5 linked regions of the Sus scrofa genome follow. The protein of the gene in region 3 interacts with the protein of the main gene of each other region in a pairwise test. Links are inferred from orthologs where the notes say so. Each region holds a gene or a part of one and is shown on either strand. Other genes may lie near its edges.

Region 1 (3,513 bases), on a different chromosome or scaffold from region 3:
TGTTCACCTGTATCCCTCACCTCACCATTTCCTTTTATAATTAACTGGTAAATGTAAATAAATGTGTTCCTGGCTGCGAATAACTAACTAATTAACTGAATCCAAAAAGGGAGGTGGCCATGGGAACCTCTGATTTACAGCCAGTCAGTCAGAAGTACAGGTAACAATCTGGACCTGCAAATGGCTCCTGGAGATCTAGGATGGGGTCCTTGGAACCTCCAACCTATAATAGGTTCACGTGTCAGAAGCACAGATGTTAACCTGGGCTTGTGAATGGCACCTGAGAGGAGAGTGGTTTTGTGGGATGGAGCCCTCTACCTGTGGAATCTGATGCTATCTCCGGGTAGACAGAAGAGGATTGAGTTGAATTGCAAGACATCCAGCTGGTGTATGCACTGCTTGTGGTATGTGGAGGGGAGATCTCCCCCCTCCCAACATCCATTGGAACTGATCTCAGAACCATCTTCATACACTTCCTTCTAATAGGTATCTTTATATGCCTTCCAACCAGAGTAGTGCAAAATGGTGTCTGAAGACATTTCACACTTCCTAATCCTTAATTGTTTATATTGGAATTTCTCTCATTTCACAGTGTCTATTTTCACTGCATTCCCAGGTGATTGTATATCTGTACTTTAGGGTCTTCCTAATTGCTCAGCTCTATACACTATTTCACCTGCCTTAGTATTCACACTAAACCTGTGGTTTTCAAATTTGTTTTAAGCGGAGAAAAAAAAAAAAGAAAAGAAAAAAAAAGAAAAGGAGCAGTAAGAGGACCCGAGTGAAATCAGCTCAGTTCCTCCCTCCTCCACAGGAGCACTCCAAAATCTCTGTCAGATTCCCAAGGTCTTTGGACCTTCAACTCACAAGAGACCAAGTCCCCTGGTAACTTAGTCTACTTTTTGGAACAGGACCTACTGCCCCAATTCAGGTGTTCCCTTCAAAGTAACTAACTTCAAGTCATTAGAACTTCTTTTGGCATAATCTAATCTCTGGCAGCACAGAGAAGCAGTCATTTCTGGGAAAGACAAGTCAGTAGCTAGGGGAGAAGATATATTTTTGAGTCTTTTAGTTCTCTACCACTGCAAAAAATAAAGGAACTTAAAAATAAACAAAAATTCAATAAACATTATTAGTCTTCTGCAGTTACCTTGTTGTCCGTAATTGTCCACTGGCCCTCGGCATTCTGCTTCAAGACACAGTGGTTTCGGGAAATCATCAGAGGGCAAATTTTTGAAACCAACTGGTATGTGACACCAAATCCTCGACCTACAGTCACCTAAGAAGACAACAACAACGTAGACACAATCAGCCATTGTGCTGAAGAGGGAGGTCATTACAATCTTGTCAACCAGCAGTGTCCACAAGTCTTGACTTAGGAAACCAGAGCAGAAAGGCAAGCAGCTCACTGGCTATCTCCTTCAGCTGCCATAGAAGCCAGTGGATAGAAAAAGGCAAAAAATGGACTTCCCGTGTGGCTCAGTGTTGCTTCTACAGTGGCTGTGGCTCGATCCCGGCTTAGGAACTTCCATATGCTGCAGGTGCGGCCACTTGTTTAAAAAAAGAAAGAAAGAAAAAGGCAAAAAGCTGTGACAAGAGACAGCTGAACGGAGTTAATCATGGGGTGTCAGGGTTGGTAGGACTCTGAAAGGTCACCTGCATCAACCACTCATGGGATGGAGGAATTCTCTCTACACACCCCATTAACTAGTTTTCTACACGGCCAAGAACTATAGCTATGATACAAGACAGTCCCGCCAACTTTTTAATGGCTCTGACTTGGAATCTTTCTCCCTATAATTTCCATCCACTGGCCCAAGCTCTGCCCTGGCCACAACCAGAAAATCTCCAGTTCCCCTTCACATGAGAGCTATAGTGCATCTGTGGAATCTTCCCTTTTCTTGGCCCTATGTTCCTATTACTTCGACATAACTCCATGTCATAGGTTTGAGTCTTCTTGCCATTTTAATAGGTCTGTGAAGAGATTTTTGGTGTTATTCCTAGATGTCATATCAAGAAAAACAAACTTGATTTTTTATTATATAGTCGAATACAAGTATCACTTTCCCAGTTCTAGATGTTATCAGTGGAGAATATAAATAACATTAGCTTTCACAGTAGATCTATCACACTGCCAGCATACCCTTAGGCTTAGGAATGATTAAATTTCTTGGACTAACCCTCCAAAGAATTCCTATGCTAAGTCATGTCTTTTCTGTCCTAGACTAACTGGCAAATGTGGATTCAAGTGCAGGACCTTACATTGATTCCTATTAAATGTCATCTTGTTAGTTTAGCCTATCATTAGCTTGTCAAGACCTTTCTGAATTTTTAATCTGCTATCAGACACACTCAATATCCATTCTGGCTTTAAGTCACCCACCAAATTGATATGATGCCTTCTGTACCTTCATTCAGGACACAGATTAAGAAGATTAAAACAGGTTGTAGCCAAAGGCAAAGCTCTTAGGAAAGCCTAGCAAATATTCTACCCTAAAAATACACACAAAAAAATTCAACAATTAAGGGAGTTCCCATGGTGGCTCAGTGATACTGAACCCAACTAGCATCCATGAGGATGCAAGTTCGACCCTTGGCCTTGCTCAGTGGGTTAAAGGATTCGGCATGGCCATGGTGTAGGTTGCAGATGCAGCTTGGATCCCACTTTGCTGTGGCTGAGGTGTAGGCCAGCAGCTACAGCTCAGATTTGACACCCTAGCCTGGGAACTTCCATATGCCACAGGTGCAACCCTAAAAATACACACACAAAAAAACCAACATTCTAACACACAATCTGGGTATACTTTCAACCAGTTATAATCCAATCAAAAGATGGAAAAGTCTGTATTTTCCATCTTACCCACAAGAACATCATGAGAGCCTTTGGAAAAGGTTGCAAAGACGACCCAATTCACATGCATCATACTTTGCTGACCGACCAATCTAGTTCATGACAACCCTGTCAAGGAAGGAAATGAAATTCTTCCGGGATCCAGCTTGCAGAATGCCCTGCTTATTCTTCTTGCTGCACAAGCCCCTCTTCAATGACCCATATCCAGACCTTACCTGGGAACACTAAGCCAAATGTCTGTAGTTTTCTAAAAGCTGCCCTTTTTGTTCCTCTTGAAAATCTTTCAGAATCATGCCTGTCCTCCTTAGTCTCTTAAAGACCACCATGAACGACTCGCTGCTCCAATCTATTCCTCCCCATAAACTCTCATCCCAGCAACTGACACCACCATCCAACCTACTGCTTAGCCCAAAACCCAGGAGCCATCTTTGATTTGCTCTCTGTCCCTCATGCCCACATTCAAATCATCAGCAAAATCTACTGGCTGTAGTTCAAATATGTCCTAAATCTATTCACTTCTCTCTCTCCTTCCCTCTCCCTCTCTCTCTCAGTGGCTCCTAGCTTAATCCAAACAACACTTCTTCCTCCAGTAGCACTATTTCTACTCCTGTGCTAGCCTCCATTCTTCACACAGTAGCTGGGGTGTAATGTAAAAACTAAAC
Region 2 (4,300 bases), on a different chromosome or scaffold from region 3:
GATGCAGGGGTTCTTCTCAAGACTGACCTCGTCCAGCTGACCGATCAAGCCCTGCAGTTCCGTTTTGGAGCTCAGGTACAGCTCGGCGGGATTCTGGGCTCGGAGGAGCTCGTTTTTTATTTCTCTCACTCGCGTGAGGACCTTCTCTATCTTTAGAATGGAGTGGTTCTGGCCCAGGTCGAAGGCGTAAGTGGTATCTGCCTCCTCCTCCAAGTCCAAGTACTTCAGCAGCTTGTTGATATCCTCCACCACCTCCTTCCGATAGTTCCTGATTTCCGTGTGCCCGCACACATCCAAAGCGTCCAGATCCGCCATCAGCCCCGAGAGCACACACGACAGGTGCCTGCAGGTCTCGTCACTGCTCACGCCCATCAGGAGGGCGATCAGCGTGCCTCGGGCCCGGTTCACGTCACACATCACGGAGTTGATCTTGGCCACCGAGGGGTGCGCGTCGGCGGAGAGCGGCAGCGAGGGCGGCTTTCTCCCGCAGTCCTCGATGATCTCCTGCACGGCGCAGACCTTGGTTAGGGTGTGATACCGCGCCTTCCGCAAGGAGGTCCGGCCGCCCGTCTTGACGCGCGTCAGCCGCAGGATGACGTCCTGGATGCCCTCTTCAAACTCCTCCGTCACACAGCTGCCGCCGCTGTGAAAGGGCACGATCTTCTCTTTCACCAGGGACTGTGCTTCTTGGAAAATGTGCTGGATCTCGAGCCGGTGGGGGTGGTTTGCATTCTGCTCCAGCTCTTTGAGAAGACGCTCCGTCTCCTGGGCCGCCCTCTTCCGCGCTTGCTGAATATCTCCCTTGCCTTCCGTATCTACAGAGTCTATTTCAAAGAGTTGTTTCGTTAGAATCCTCTCCAGTTTCTTGTACGTCTTGTCGTCTGACAGGCCACTGAAAGCAGTTACTTGCTGTTCTATGCTTTTTACCTCCTTTTGGATCTCCTGGAGCCGACTTATAGAAGGATGCTGGTTTCCCATCGCCATACTTTGGTTGTGTTCAGTTTCACAAGCACTAAAAGATGGCAAAAACGATAACTCATTACACTACAAAGCCTGCAGCATGGTAATCACATATTCAATTCATTCTACAGTTCTCATTCTAAAAAGACAGGCTCGAAAAAAAAGGCTGGCTACTGCAGTCCAAAGGAGAAGAAATCCAAGCACAGAAATCAGAGCGACTCATCAATTCCCTCTCATGAAAACAGCTAAACAGCTGCACCGAGGTTGAGACCAGGGCTACTGCCGAGTGGAAATAGGAGCCGGAGCTCTGGGCCTGTGAACTTCAAGTTTCCTCAGTTGTAAGAGAGAACAAACAACATATGCCATCATAAGTATGGCATGAAGCTGAACATTTTGGAAAAGGTGCAGGTATCTGAGGTCTTAAAACTGGAAGCTGTTTTTTTTGGCGCGGCAGGGCACCTTTGTGGTAGCTCTGCTAACCTTCCAGGTCAGTACGTCTAAGCAGGGCCCTCCTCTCACCCCATTACAAAGAGCTATGACTAATTTCCGGAAAAAGTAAACAAAAGGAACCGAGCCACTGAAACAAACACCAGTGGTTCGCAGACACCGCCCAAGTCCCCGCTTCTACCGTCCTCTCCATCCTTTGAGCCCTTCTAACATCTCCTCTACAGTGGCATAGGGCTCCACGGGAAAGGCGACTGGGACTGTCAAAGCACCACCCTGGGCTCTGGAGGCCTAGTACCTCCCCAGGCCCCATCATGCTCCTGCCCCTTCTCCGAAATACATCGCACAAGCATGTGACAACTCTGAGCAATCCATTCACTAGCCTCACATTAGGAATCCAGAATGGCTCAACGCACTTTTTTCATGCTCCTGGGTTTCTATCGATCAGCTCTTTGGAGGGGGCCGGGTACTCAAGTGAAACCAATCCCTTCTGGGTGTCCGAGCCGAGAACACGCCTCTGGAGGCCCAGGGAGAGCAGGCGGCCTCGATTCTTCCCTTCCCTGCCCGCCCTTCCCTCCCAGCACTTTACCCAGAAGAGGTCTAAGCTGGTTTGGTCTTGGCTTCCCGTGGGTGAAGTGGCGAGATGGAAGATCAGCCCTTTACGGGGTGCGGCTCCGGAGCTGGGCCCCCAGCTGCATCCCTCTCACCCCTCCCGGCTAGATCTGAACGGGGCAGCCGGTGAAGGGGCCGGCAGTGGCAGCGGCAGCTACTGGCCGCAGCGGCCGCTCCGGGCGTCTCGCCCGGACCCCACGACGCACCCGCCCGCCCTGACCTCACAATGGCCCTCGGGGGAGGGGGCGGCCGCGCTCGGCCGGGCCTGGGAGCCGGCGAGGAGGGAGGGGGCTCGGGCCGGGCCGGCTGCGGGGAGCCCGGCTCGGAAACCAGGGCCGGCCCGCGTCGGACCCAGGGCTGGGGCGGCGCCCACTCCGGCCCGGCCACAACGGGGAAGGGCGCCGAGTCGGGGGTCGCCCGCCTGCTGCCCGCGCCGAGGGAAGGCTGCCGCCGCCTGGTTCTCGCTCACCTGCGCCGCCCGCGCCATCGCGCACTCCGCCGCCGACGCCCCGCGCCGCCGCAGCTCCCGCCGTCGCCTGGGCCCGGCAGCTCCGCCCCCGGGCCGAACAGCCCCTCGCCCTGGGAAAAGGTCTTCCGGCTTCCGCGCCCACCCCGACCCTGACCAAGCCCGCCGCTGGCCGTCTGGCGAGTCAGCCTGGAACGGCTGAGCCCCAGGAGCAGGCGGCCACCCGGCCGCGCCCGAGCCGACGGCCGTCCTCGCAGCCGGTCACACGCGGGGAAAGAGCACGATCGGCCGCGCTGTCCCCGTCCTCGGGCTTTGCGACCGTGCCGTAAGGCAGCCCCTAGCGCCGTCGCGACTCCGCCGTGCGCCGCGCGGGCCGACGGACGGCGACCATGGCGCCCTGGCGGCCCGGAAGCAAGACGGTCCTCCTTCCTCTCCGCCGCGCCTTTTCAGGCCGTGGCTGTCAGCTCGCCCCCGAGCGCAGCGCTGAGCGCAGGGATGCAGCGCCCAGCCGCGTAAGTGGGGTTCCCGGAAAAGTTGGGCCGGGAGGAGTGACCGCAAGGGGCGGCAGACCCGGGCCGCACCCCTCAGGGACCCCTGTGGGACCCTCACACCTGCGACGCGCCACTTGCGGTGTCGGCTGAGCCCCCCGGCGTGGGGACCCGGAGCCGGCACGGGCTTTGCGGGACAGGCGAGTGGAGCGCGGGGAAGCCCTGGAGCCCCCCAGTTTCCTGCGTCAATCCCCTTGTGGAGGTGGGACTGAGGGTGCCGCCGCCGTCCCGGGGCTGTTGAAAGAACTTTAAGAATAGCATAGCCGTGCAACAGAACAAAGGGTGGGGGAAAAAATGTATACATGTAAGAGTAATTTGGTCCCCATGCTGTACAGCGGAAAGAAAATAAAAGTAAAAAAATAAATAAATGAATAAAAGAATAGCATAGCCGGCCAGCAAGTTTATACGTACCGGGGAGTTCCCGTCGTGGCGCAGTGGTTAACGAATCCGACGGGGAACCAAGAGGTGGCGGGTTCGATCCCTGGCCTTGCTCAGTGGGTTAAGGATCCGGCGTTGCCATGAGCTGTGGTGTAGGTCGCAGATGCCGCTCGGATCCCGCGTGGCTGTGGCTCTGGCGTAGGCTGGTGGCTACAGCCCCGATTAAACCCCTAGCCTGGGAACCTCCATGTGCTGCGGGTGCGGCCCTAGAAAAGACAAAAAAAAAAAAGTTTATACGTACCGTCTTTCTGTCGAGGATAACTGGCTTTTACATGTAAAGAGCTCTTGACATGCGCAGCACGTGTGTGTGTCGTCTTTATGATTAGTAACGCTTTTCTTCAAGTGATGGCGTACTGTTTTGTAGGACTTCACGTTGAATGTTTTTGTTCATTTGGTTTGGAAACCGTGTGCATATATGTATATCTGTGACTGAAGAGCCATAACGATTAATATCTGTAGCAGTTTTTATAAATTGCACTGCTTTGGGGAATGACGTTTTGTTTAAGGGAGTCCTAAACTTTGATACCAACAGTCACATGAAAATGTGGACCAAGGGTGTGGAATGGGCTGCAGATAAAATGTTTAAACGATGGAGTTCCCATGGTGGCTCAGTGGTTAAAGAATCCGACTAGGAACCATGAGATTGCAGGTTCCATCCCTGCCCTTGCTCAGTGGGTTAAGGATCCTGTGTTGCCGTGAGCTGTGGTGTAGGTTGCAGACGTGGCTCAGGTTCCGGTTCCGAGTTGCTGTGGCTCTGGCATAGGCCGGCAGCTACAGCTCCAATTCGACTCCGGGCCTGGGAACCTCCATGTGCCCCAGGAGTGGCCCAAGA
Region 3 (4,306 bases):
CCACTCACCTGCATGCTCTGCTGGTACTGCATCTGCAGAGAACCTTGCGCAGGGGTGGACACGTCCAGTCCAGACCCTCCCTCCACTCGCTGAGAGATGAAGCTGTTCAAGGACCTCAGGGTGGAGAGGACGGTGGTGTTTTCGCCCAGGTCTTCCATGGCCACCTCCCTCTGGAGGAAAACAAGGGACGGGTCACGGGGAGCCTTTCCACGCACCATCGGCTCTGGCAGCTGCCCAGTCAGGGGCGCCTTCAGGGAGCCCCACACCCTGATGCGCTCTCAGAGCCCTTAACACATTCCAGGGTCCGTGAGCACCGTCTTCCAGGTTAAGGGGGAGTACATGCTGCCAATTTCTCAGAGAAGAACGGAGGCATAAAAAGACAACGTGCCAGCAAGCTGCTGACCGGCAGAGCGCTGACGAGCACACCAGCTGGAAAGACAGACGGCCCTCAGGACAGGGTGTCCAGCCGTCAGGGTGTCCAGCTGGGCACCTCCCAGATGAGCACTGACAGAAAGCCTAGCTTCTGGGAATGAGAAGCAAAGAACACAGGAGTCCCTGCTGTGGCTCAGACGTAACAAACCCGACTAGAATCCACGAGGACACAGGTTCAACCTCGGCCTCGCTCAGTGAATTAAGGATCCAGCACTGCCATGAGCAACAGTGTAGGTCACAGCTGCAGCTTGGATCCTGCGTTGCTGTGGCTGTGCTGTGGGCCGGAGCTGCAGCTCCGACGAGACCCCTCACCTGGGAACCTCCATATGCTGCGGGAGCGGCCCTGCAAAGACAAAAAATAAAAAGCACACGACAGTGGCAATCAGGAGGGCACCCCCGCAATGCTAATTACAGGTTAGCAATGACATTAATGGGTGTCTCGACCACCTTCAGCCACCCGACTAATGCCCACGAGGATGCAGGTTCAAGCCCCAGCCTTGATCAGGGCGGGGTTAAGGATCCAGAGTTGCCGTGTGCTGTGGTGTAGGTTAAAGAAGGGGCTCGGATCTGGCGTTGCTGTGGCTGTGGCGTAGGCTGGCAGCTGCGGCTCTGATTCGGCCTCCAGCCCGGGAACATCCATATGCCTCTGCCACAGGGGTGGCCCTAAAAAGAACAAATAAATGGTTACAGAACTGAGATTGGACCCTGGTCTGTCTGGCTCTAAGGCTGAGTGTACTCCCCAGGCCAGTGTATGAAGGTCTGAGGACAAGCAGCAGCAAAGAACCTGCGCCCCCAAATCTGTGCTTATTATGGCCTCACACCACGCTGTCTACCAGCCGGAAGGTGTGGCAGTGTCCCAGGCACAGCGAAGCACCAAGAGGTGTGAATTCCTACAGGTGCATCGTCTTCAGGAAAAGAGCCAGCTCTCACTGATTTCCCTTAAGTATGAGACGGAACGCACCTTCCCCCAGCTGGAGCCCCCTTCCCCCCGAAAAAGAAGACCTGGTTTGCTCCTGAATTTCCCGTTTAAGGAGAACCCTGGCCTTGTGCACCCAGAGCCTGTCTTCCGGAGGCCGTGGTTTCCACGCCCGGCACAACTCGGCTGTCCTCACCACTCTCCTTCAAACCACAAGTGGAAGATGGGTGGGACGAGAAACCAGCGAGGGGCGCTCACGGAGCTGCGCGCCTGGCGAGCGATGCAGGCCCGCGCAGCGAGGCACGGGGCTCTGCTCTGGAAGGCCAGTCCTCCATCTGCCAAGATTAGACCACTCTTCCCCTCCCGTGATGGTAAATCTGGCCAACACGCCCCCTTCTCACACCCGATGCCCGCAATACCCCAGCAGGAAGAGAACGTACCCGCTTTCACCTGCCCCGAACTCCGCTGCCCCACGAGGCGGCAGCTCAAATTCCACCCTCTTTATCCAAGCGACCCAAACCTTCCAGCGCCCTCACCACGGACTCGGAGCTCAGAGTCCCGGGCACCCTGCCTCTCTCCCGCCCTGCTGGCCCAAGGACAGACATTACAGGGCTCCCCACCGCCCAGCGGCCCTTCACACCGCCGCGGGCGCTCTCGCCGGCCGGCCGGCCAGTTCTCCACCTGCTGCCGGGCGCCTTCGCCAAACTTCCACCACCGACGAAACGCACGCGAGCGCGCCTCCCACGGGCCGCCGGCAGTGGGACCCTGGGCAGGGCGCTTGCCCCTTCCCACCGTTTCCCTGGCTGTCAAAGGCAGTAGCGGCAAGTCCCACGCCGCCCGGCGAGGACGCGCGGGAAGCGGGGAGAGCGCCGCCGGCCCCCGAGCCTCGGCGGGTGAGGGACCCGCTGCCGCGAGGCCGCCCCCTCGGCGCTCGAGACCCCGACCATTCCCAGCGGCCCTTCTCGGAGGAGGCGCGCTGGGGACGCCCGCCCGCCCAGCCTCGGAAGGACCCCAGCCTCGCCCCCGCCCGCCCCGCGCCGGCTCAGCCTGGCGCAGCGCGGCGCCCGCCGGGGCACCCCGGCCGCTCACCTCACCGCCTCAGCCCACCGGGCGCCGCCGCTGCTGCTGCTGCCGCCGCCGCTCAGATCTCCCTCTTCTACGCCCGCGCCCACGTATCGCGAGACGTGCGGCTGCGCTCTCGCGAGACCTGGGCGGGACCAGCCGTGAGCTCCGGATCTGCGCGCCTGCAGGTCACGGGGACTCCGCGTCCGTCCCCGGAGCTACCTACTCCCGGCAGAGGCCGCAAAGAGGGGACTCGGAACCAAAGCCGGCCCGCCCGCGGGACTCTCGTGGTGCCCCCACCTCCAGCGTGTCGGCTTCCACTTGGCGGCTGCCTTGCGCCGTATTGTGTGGAATAGCACCGTCCAACGGTGGCCTCTTAGAGCCAAACTTCCCTGCACTCCCTTTCCCCGGTTTTACCACTACGGTATTTGCTTGAGTTAATGCGTTTTAACTTTTCACAAGGCCCTCTGAAAAAAGGCCAAATGCTATTCTACTAAGCTGTCCTCACAAAAGGCTGCGCTTCTAAGCTGGAGCCGTCGGGGCGCGGGGACCTCGTCTGGGTCTCAGTTCTCCAGGGAGCAGTGGTCAGCCTGTCCCTCCTCGAATTACGGCCACCTGGGTCCAGCAGCGTGCCTCCCGCGCCAGCTAGGCGCCCGAGGGCCTGCACCGAATTCCCTTCTTCCAGAGAATAAAAGACACGTTAGTGTGGCCAGAACGAACTGGATGGGAAAGCGGAGAATGTGATAGTGAAGGCAGGACGGAGGGCTCTCCGGTCTTAACTGGCCGACTGCAAACGAAAACAAAACGAAAAATTTGAGTCTGGCCAGCAGCATCCTTCAGGGATCTGGACTCAGCCCTAGGACCCTGATGGAGATTCCTGGCTACCTCTCCCCTCCCCAAGCAGTCTTGGGATTTAATCATCGCTACAGTCAATAAACTCTTTTGGGGGGGGGCTTTTTTAGGGCCCCACCAGCAGCATATGGAAGTCCCCAGGCTACGAGTCGAATAGGAGCTACAGCAGCTGGCCTAGGCCACAGCCACGCCATTGCGGGATCTGAGCCGCATCTGTGACCTACACCACAGCTCAGGGCAACGCCGGATCCCCCACCCAGATTCGAACTCGAATCCTCAAGGGTACTAGTCGGATTCCTTTCCGCTGTACCACAGGACTCCCATCAATATACTCTTTTTAAAAAACTTTAATAAATAAATAAATAACTTTTATCACTCAATGAATTTTATTATAGTTGTACGATTATCACAACCCAATTTTATAGCATTTCCAGGAACTGGTTTTGAGGAAACCAATCAATTTAAAAAAAAACAAAAAACAAAAACTTAAAAACACAGACATTCATTCCTCTTACGGCCTATACGACCTTACAGAGTCGCATCACAACCCTGGACAGGGGCACGGAGGTAAGGGAACACACCATGTCGCTGCTTGCTTTGGCAACGACCTTTAAGTCTTTGGAGCCTGGAATATTACAGCAACATTTTCCAGTGAAAAAGCAAAGCACAGCCACCCCATGCATAATTCACACCAAATGTCTTCTCTGATTGTCCTGGGAACTCGTCACTGCTTCAAGAATGGATGTATTTCCAGATCATTCACCCGAGAGATGGGAAAAAATCCCCAGACTGAAGTTTCACATTTGTCCACATTACGCTGGGTAGCCAAAATACCACCTGGAAACTGCGGGCTGTTCTTGGAGGGAGGATGGAAGCCTGTTTCTCCGTAACACGCTCAGTCACAGCAGGAGAGGAGAACGTTATGTAAAGGTGTCTGTGTGTGTTTCTCTGCCTCCCACTGTTTCTGTCCTCCCCCCAGTAGGCCTTTTCATCTTTTTATCTTTGCCCCTCCCTTAGGAAAAAAGGTCCCCCATGTGTCCTTCC
Region 4 (3,513 bases), on a different chromosome or scaffold from region 3:
ATAGAAACAGTAGGTTCTCTGTTGATTTTTGCTGAAGAAGAGGTATAACCTGGTGATCCTACCATGTTACTCTGCCCAAAAAGGAGGAGTTATCTCTGAAAGCCATCACAGATACATCATTTTATAAAATTCATTTTTGGGTTTTTGTGTTTATTTTTGTTCATCTGTTTCAGGTCAGTTTCATTAGAGAAAGCAAGTTGTAGCCTGGGATGACAGCTATGATTATGGTGTTCACAATCTTTTTGCTTCCCTTCCTATAGCATTAGCGATGGAAATGCCTGCACATTATCCTTCTATTGCTCTAAAGGCCTTGAAAAAGGCTTTATTGCTCCACAAAAATAAAGAGTCCATTGATGTTTTGAAATACAGGTTAGTAAATATAATTCAACTTTGAATCTTAATTTCTGATAGCCAACAGTGCTATAGTCAATGTTCCATAAATCATCAATCATACTCACTGACTCAAAAGATGATTTAGGTACTCCTGTTAACTCCTAGACTAAAAAGCCCTCAGAACAGCCCCATATTTAGAGCTGTATTAGAGACCAAAGCAAAGTGAAGGAGTCTGGTTTTCCCAAAGGAGAAAAAGAGGGGGAAATTTGCTTCTTTGCATGTCTATGTATATAATGAAATTATTAATTAAGTACTTTCTTTCATTACTAAATATGCCAAGTGTACAGAAAAATAGAGATTAATATAATAAACAGCAGTGTATCCACCACTCAAATTTAACAGATATTAACATTTGCTATATTTGCCTCATATATTTTGTTCTAAGAACCCTCCTTTAAAGACCAATAAGTGCTGTACATAATATAAAACAGTATTTATTGGAGATTTTATGTTCTCTATGCCTAGACATGAGGGAAAAATAGATGTTGTGTGATTTTTCTCTGGAAAACTTCATTACAATCTTCCTTTTCTGAGACATGAGAGACAGTTCTCCTGGAATCATTCCCAATTTAAATCCCAATTCCCTTCCCCCATTTGAGGATGTAACAAGATGCTTTAAAGTGCCTGTAGATTAAACCAGCTCATAAAATGTAGTAAACAGACACAACTCAGTGCAAGAAGCTAAAAAAAAAAGTGAAAGACAACCATAGACATAATAAAAGGAAGGATTGGTCAGCCCCTTTTATATCTTCAAAAAATCTGTCTTCTGAGCTTGGAAAATCAAATTGAAGGAAGAACAGAAGTGTTTTGAAGCTCTTAGTCTGGGATGAAATCCAGATCTTACTTATCTTAGCCATGAAGTCAATGATTTCTTTCCTATGGGATGAGTTTTCTCTTTTTGATTTTCAGCAAATGTATGCACAGCTTGCTTAACCTCTTAGTGCCAGATGGGACACTGAGTGCCGAGCTCTGTCCCCTGGAAGAAGTTTGGGGCTATTTTGAAGATGCTCTGAACCTTATTAGCCACACCGTAAGTCAAAAACTGATAATAAACTTTAAGCTAATTTTAAAAAACTGAATTGTCTTGTATATTAGAAATTAGAATAATGCCTTTTGATATGAGTTTTAGGGTAAATAAAGTCATATTCCAATGTGGTTATACATAATAAAATTTCCCTGGGTTCATGAAATGGAGTTAAAAGTAGAAAATTCCTAATACAAGTTAACTATGGATTAGGTTAAAATAGCAGTACCACCTGGCATTCTGAATTAGTTTGTATTTTCAAAACCTGGTAGAATTATTATTTCCCTGAGAAGATGATAATGACTCTTTGAAAAAGTTTATTGTTATTCCTGCCATTTCTGAGATAGGTAATAAAGAAGAAGAAACACTGAACACCTATATTTTAGTCCCTCTGCCAATTTTTTTCATTTTAGCACAGGTTCATTCAGTAATTTATTATTTACTTGTTTGTTTATTATTAAAGTATAGTTGATTTAGAATGTCGTGCCAATTTCTGCTGTACAGCATAGTGACCCAGCCATACATATATATACATTCTTTTTCTCATACTATCTTCCATCATGTTCTGTCCCAAGAGATTGAATATAGTTTCCTGTGCTGTATAGTAGGACCTCATTACTTATCCATTCTAAATGTAATAGTCTGCATCTACCAATCCCAAACTCCCCATCCATCCCACTCCCTCTTCCTTCCCCCTTAGCAACCACAAGTCTGTTCTCTATGTCTGTGATTCTGTTTCTGTTTTGTAGGTAGGTTCATTTGTGCCATATTTTAGGGTCTACACATAAGTGATATCATATGGTAACTGTCTTTCTCTGACTTACTTCACTTAGTATGAGAATGTCTAGTTGCATCCATGTTGTTGCAAATGCCATTATTTCATTCTTTTTATGGCTGGGTGGTATTCCATTGTATATGTGTACCACATCCTAGTCTTTTCATCTGTTGGTGGACATTTAGGTTGTTTCCTTCCATATTTTGGCTATTGTGAATAGTGCTAAAATGAACATAGGAGTGCATGTATATTTTTAAATTATAGGGTTTTTTTTTTTTTTTTGTCTTTTTGCTATTTCTTTGGGCCGCTCCCATGGCATATGGAGGTTACCAGGCTAGGAGTCCAATCGGAGCTGTAGCCACCGGCCTACGCCAGAGCCGCAGCAACGCGGGATCCGAGCCGCGTCTGCAACCTACACCACAGGTCACGGCAACGCCGGATGTTAACCCACTGAGCAAGGGCAGGGACCGAACCCACAACCTCATGGTTCCTAGTCGGATTCGTTAACCACTGCGCCACGACGGGAACTCCTAAGGTTTTTTTTGGATGTATGCAGCAGTGGAATTGCTGGATTGCTATTCAGTAATTTTTAAACTAGCTTTATTAAGATATAATTTACATACTATAAAATTTACCCATTGTATAATTCAATGATTTTTAGTAAATTTATAATTATACAACTATCTCCATAATCTGGTTTTATATTTCCATTACCCCCCCCAAAATTTTCTATTGCCCATTTTTTCAGTCAATCTCTGCTCCCATTTTCAGGCCCAGGGAACCACTGATCTGTTTTTTCTGTCTCTATAGATTTTTCTCTTTCTAGACACTTCATATAATGGGATCTTATAATATGTGACCTGTGGTGTCTAGTTTCTTTCAATTTAGCTTACTGTTTTTGAGATTCACCCATGCTTTAGCATGTATCAGTATTCCATTCCTTTCTATTGCTGAGTAAATAAAATGTTATTATATTCTATTGAATGGATATGTCACATTTTGTTTATTCACTCACTAGTTGGTAAACATTTAACTTGTTTCCACTTTAAAAAAAATCTATTGGAGTATAGTTGACTTACAATATTGTATTAGTTGACTTGTTACCACTATTACAAATAATGCTGCTATGAACATTTGTGTACAAGTCTTTGTTTTCAAAAGCTTGTTTTCAGTTCTCTTGAGTACATGAATTAATGGGTCATATGGTAGCTCTCTGTTTGAGGAACTGCAATCTGTTTTCCAAAGTTGCTGCACTATTTCACATTCCTACCAGCAGTGTCTGAGGGTTCTAATTTCTCCACATCCTCATCAACACTTGTTA
Region 5 (3,549 bases), on a different chromosome or scaffold from region 3:
AAAATTTGCTGCAAAGTTTGAGATACCTGTATGTAATAACCATGTGGAAGTTTTCACTAGGTGGTTGGACTAATAGGACTAGAGTTCAGGGACGAGACCTGGTTTAAGTTATAAATTTGAATTGTCTTTCTTAAGTAACATAGGTGAATCATTCAAACCATAGATCTGAATGATTCCCCCAGGGGAAGATACAAATTGAGGAAGAGCCCACAAAACATGATTTTTTTTTTTTAAGGTCAAAATTTAATGTGCCTACAGAAAAGTCAGAAGAAACTATAGAGATGGAAGATCTAAGGAAAAGTGGTGTAACAGAAGCCAAAAATACTTCAGTGCAGCAAAAAGGAGCACTAAAGCATTAAATGCTACAGAAAAATTGGCTAAAAGAACTAAAAGTGTCCATTTAATTTGCTTTTAGGATGTTTTTGAGCCTAGTGAAAGTCATTTCGTTGGAATGGTTGCAGCAACAGTTAGTTCACATTGAATTGAGGATGTGCATGAGACTGAATGAATCTTAGTCTCCCAGCCTGGCTGTGAGAAAGAGGAAGGGGGGTATATAGCAGCTAGAGGAAGAGGTAGAAAGGAGAGGGATTTGTGATGGGAAAAGACTTTTAAGTATTATTTGTGCTCAGAAGTCCACTAGCTAAGGACTCATTAAACATACACAGTGATGATTGATGGCACAGTTATCCTTAACACAGTAAGAAAAGTTAGGATCTAGAGCAAATATAAAATGAAGTTATTAGTGTTAGAAAGAAACTTAACTGTTTCCTCAGAGATAGGAGAAAAGAGGGCATAGAATTCTATTTCATGTTAGAGTAACTAGGTTAATTAGCGATATAGTTGCCTTTGTCTGTCCAGCTAACTTAAAATAAGAATGGTAAATCCAGTGACCATTCTTCCTTCTATATAGAAGTGATCTTATATTTAATCAGTTTTAGTAACCTTCAGTTGACCAGGTGTGGTTTTTTTTTATGATTTATGCCTTGTCACAAAAATCACTTACCAGCTAAAAATTCATCCTGTATTTAATGTTATCTTTAAGAATCATAACCATTTTAACATTCTTTGTTTAACAGTCCAAAGCAGCATACGTACTCTTCTACCAGAGACAAGACACTTTCAGTGGAACTGGCTTTTTCCCTCTTGACCGAGAAACTAAAGGTGCTTCAGCTGCCACAGGCATCCCATTAGAAAGTGATGAAGATAGCAATGATAATGACAATGATATAGAAAATGAAAACTGTATGCACACTAACTAATGAAAGTCCTAGAAGCCATAAAAGAGAGACTTTCCTGCTGGTGGTATCTATTGAAATGATGAAGTCACCCACCACATTAAACAAAGTCTGAGATGGGGAGTTTCAGATAACCGAATGTAAATCCTTTATCAGATTTTAACTTGTGCAGTACTTGAAGTGAAATACAATGAAAACTTTAACAGAAATTGTCTCTTAATACATTTACAGTCTTGTATTTACAAGCTAAATATATATAGGAAATCACAAATAAATCCCTTTTAAGTTTGCTGCTGTTTTGATGAATTATGTTTTCTTTAATTTTTTGGATGTGAGTTAATTGATGACAAATGTTAAATTTGTGGATGTTGGTCATTTATTTTGCTCTAATAATACTGCAAGAAAACTATGGCTGAACTTAGTTTTTGGATAATCTAGTTCATGTGCATTAGGCTGCCACATACACTACTATGATATTTAGCTGCAGTATCAATGTGGCATAAATACTGCAGTAGTAGTTTTGGAAAACCAAATTTTCAAATCTTTACCTGGTAATCAGTGTGGGCCTATTATAAAATGAAATCATGATACAGGAAACAGTCTTGAAAAAGTTACTTCCCTTTATAGTATCATTTTTTAAAAATCCAGAATATTATGTTCCTCTTAACTGCTACTGTGGAAAACAGGTTCTAGATTTCACATTTCATCTAAAGTCACTTTTCAGTTACATGTAAGTATTTTTACTGCTATTGGGATCTGTTCCTTAGACATTCAGATTATTTTTAACTTACTTTAAAATGCATATCTTTAATCTGGTATTGGTCCAAAATTAAAATTTTTGCTGTCTGTTTTTCTCTACCCCATTTTTTGGTAATTTGGCAACTTTTAGCTCTCCTAAATATGTAATATAAAGACAAAAATAGTATTCTGTATCCATAGTAATAATTACATCAAGCTTTGATGAGAAATTTTTTTCATCTACTGGCCTTTAAATCATTAATAGACAATTGGCTTTAAAGGTAGGTCTGTTAACTTTCTCTGTGTGTTCCTGATGGAATTCACCATAGCCTTACAGCTTTTCTCAGAAGGTAACTTGTTACAAGAGAATTGGCATTTGCATGTTCCAGAGTCAGAACCTGTACAGTATATAAAGCATACAAATCTTGAATTTTACTTTCCTTCACCACATTCAAGGATCCAGGATGCCAAAAATATGTGTGAACATTGGAAACATTTTTCATTTGCTGCTTTTTCCCTTTGATCTAGTTGAAAGAATGTATTGTCAATTGGCATACAATACTGCCTTTAATAGAAACTCTAAATGCTGGGGCACATTTCACATATCGACTACCTGAGCAATTGCTTTGTGTCCCACTCTTACTAAAGCAAAAAGTATGATGTTCTTCACTTGAACTAATCAAATACAATAGATTATAAATTGTGTATTGTAAATAAAAGTTCACTCTGTGAGTGCACATTTTGGTAAATTATTTATTTATGTTAGCATTTAAAAGTAAAAGAAAAATGCATTTGACCAGGATAAATGAGGTATGTTGATCATGGCTTTGCTTTATACCTTGATATTAAAGCTGGTTTTTCATCCTGGTATTTTTAAAGCTGCTTTGGGTTTTTCCTTTTTTTTTTTTTTTCTTTTTTTCTTTTTTCTTTTTTTTTTTTTTCTTTTTTAATGTAAACTAACCTCCTGCATGACAGAGGTTAAAATTTTGTCTGCACTTGAGTTCACTTGAGTTTACATTTGAAATGTGCATGTTTATTTATACAGATTTCAATAAAGCTATTCAAGGCCTTATTTAGTCTTTTATTTCTTACTCTGAATCTTTTAATAAAAATCCCCTATTTGGGGTAGGTGATTATATGCTAGACTTTTTAGTTATCATATAGTTAAAAATAGAAAAGCATGTCAGATCAAAGTGAATCTTGTTATGGACATGTTTTTAAGTTCACTTTTTAAATTTATTTATTAATTTGTTTATATACCTGTTAATCACTGTTGTAGGATCTTGAGATTCAGCAGTAAACAAATATCCCTACACTCAAGAGAGCTTGCAATTTTTCTGCTACCTACCAACTAAAAGACTGTTTCCCTTTTACTGAGATTTAAAGCAAAAACAAAACTATAGCTCTAGATTATAGTCTCTACCTTGATTGTCCGTAGAGACCATTCCTTTTTAACTCCTGTGATTAACTTCTGTTCCCGCTAAAAGAAGTGTATTTTAAAAGGAAAATGATGTTAATATTACCATTGAATTCGTCAAACTCAAATGGCGTTATCAGCTGCAAAAAATAAACTATA

Evidence for each region.
Region 1: the proteins of MAD1L1 (region 3) and RNF8 interact in binary tests that used the Homo sapiens proteins (3 or more experiments, as listed by UniProt). The two-hybrid records come from large-scale screens. The link is inferred for Sus scrofa from reciprocal best matches to the Homo sapiens genes MAD1L1 and RNF8.
Region 2: the proteins of MAD1L1 (region 3) and BAG5 interact in binary tests that used the Homo sapiens proteins (3 or more experiments, as listed by UniProt). The two-hybrid records come from large-scale screens. The link is inferred for Sus scrofa from reciprocal best matches to the Homo sapiens genes MAD1L1 and BAG5.
Region 4: the proteins of MAD1L1 (region 3) and TEX11 interact in a two-hybrid assay, tested with the Homo sapiens proteins (2 studies listed by BioGRID and IntAct). The two-hybrid records come from large-scale screens. The link is inferred for Sus scrofa from reciprocal best matches to the Homo sapiens genes MAD1L1 and TEX11.
Region 5: the proteins of MAD1L1 (region 3) and USP15 interact in binary tests that used the Homo sapiens proteins (3 or more experiments, as listed by UniProt). The two-hybrid records come from large-scale screens. The link is inferred for Sus scrofa from reciprocal best matches to the Homo sapiens genes MAD1L1 and USP15.

What each region holds. Positions count from the first base shown.
Region 1 is NC_010449.5:32,938,308-32,941,820, reverse strand, and holds part of RNF8 (E3 ubiquitin-protein ligase RNF8), read right to left. Parts: intron 1,280-3,513; coding exon 1,151-1,279; intron 1-1,150. UniProt on the Homo sapiens protein: E3 ubiquitin-protein ligase that plays a key role in DNA damage signaling via 2 distinct roles: by mediating the 'Lys-63'-linked ubiquitination of histones H2A and H2AX and promoting the recruitment of DNA repair proteins at double-strand breaks (DSBs) sites, and by catalyzing 'Lys-48'-linked ubiquitination to remove target proteins from DNA damage sites.
Region 2 is NW_018084979.1:2,107,334-2,111,633, forward strand, and holds the start of BAG5 (BAG family molecular chaperone regulator 5), read right to left. Parts: upstream 2,804-4,300; 5' UTR 2,486-2,803; intron 2,468-2,485; exon of another isoform or gene 1,994-2,467; intron 1,013-1,993; 5' UTR 985-1,012; coding exon 1-984. Other genes in the region: APOPT1 (apoptogenic protein 1, mitochondrial), read left to right, coding at 2,872-2,994. UniProt on the Homo sapiens protein: Co-chaperone for HSP/HSP70 proteins. It functions as a nucleotide-exchange factor promoting the release of ADP from HSP70, thereby activating HSP70-mediated protein refolding.
Region 3 is NC_010445.4:1,556,534-1,560,839, forward strand, and holds the start of MAD1L1 (mitotic spindle assembly checkpoint protein MAD1), read right to left. Parts: upstream 2,814-4,306; 5' UTR 2,438-2,813; intron 171-2,437; 5' UTR 159-170; coding exon 9-158; intron 1-8. UniProt on the Homo sapiens protein: Component of the spindle-assembly checkpoint that prevents the onset of anaphase until all chromosomes are properly aligned at the metaphase plate.
Region 4 is NC_010461.5:56,589,599-56,593,111, reverse strand, and holds part of TEX11 (testis-expressed protein 11), read left to right. Parts: intron 1-260; coding exon 261-369; intron 370-1,302; coding exon 1,303-1,423; intron 1,424-3,513. UniProt on the Homo sapiens protein: Regulator of crossing-over during meiosis. Involved in initiation and/or maintenance of chromosome synapsis and formation of crossovers.
Region 5 is NC_010447.5:27,079,505-27,083,053, forward strand, and holds the end of USP15 (ubiquitin carboxyl-terminal hydrolase 15), read left to right. Parts: intron 1-1,076; coding exon 1,077-1,259; 3' UTR 1,260-3,045; downstream 3,046-3,549. UniProt on the Homo sapiens protein: Hydrolase that removes conjugated ubiquitin from target proteins and regulates various pathways such as the TGF-beta receptor signaling, NF-kappa-B and RNF41/NRDP1-PRKN pathways.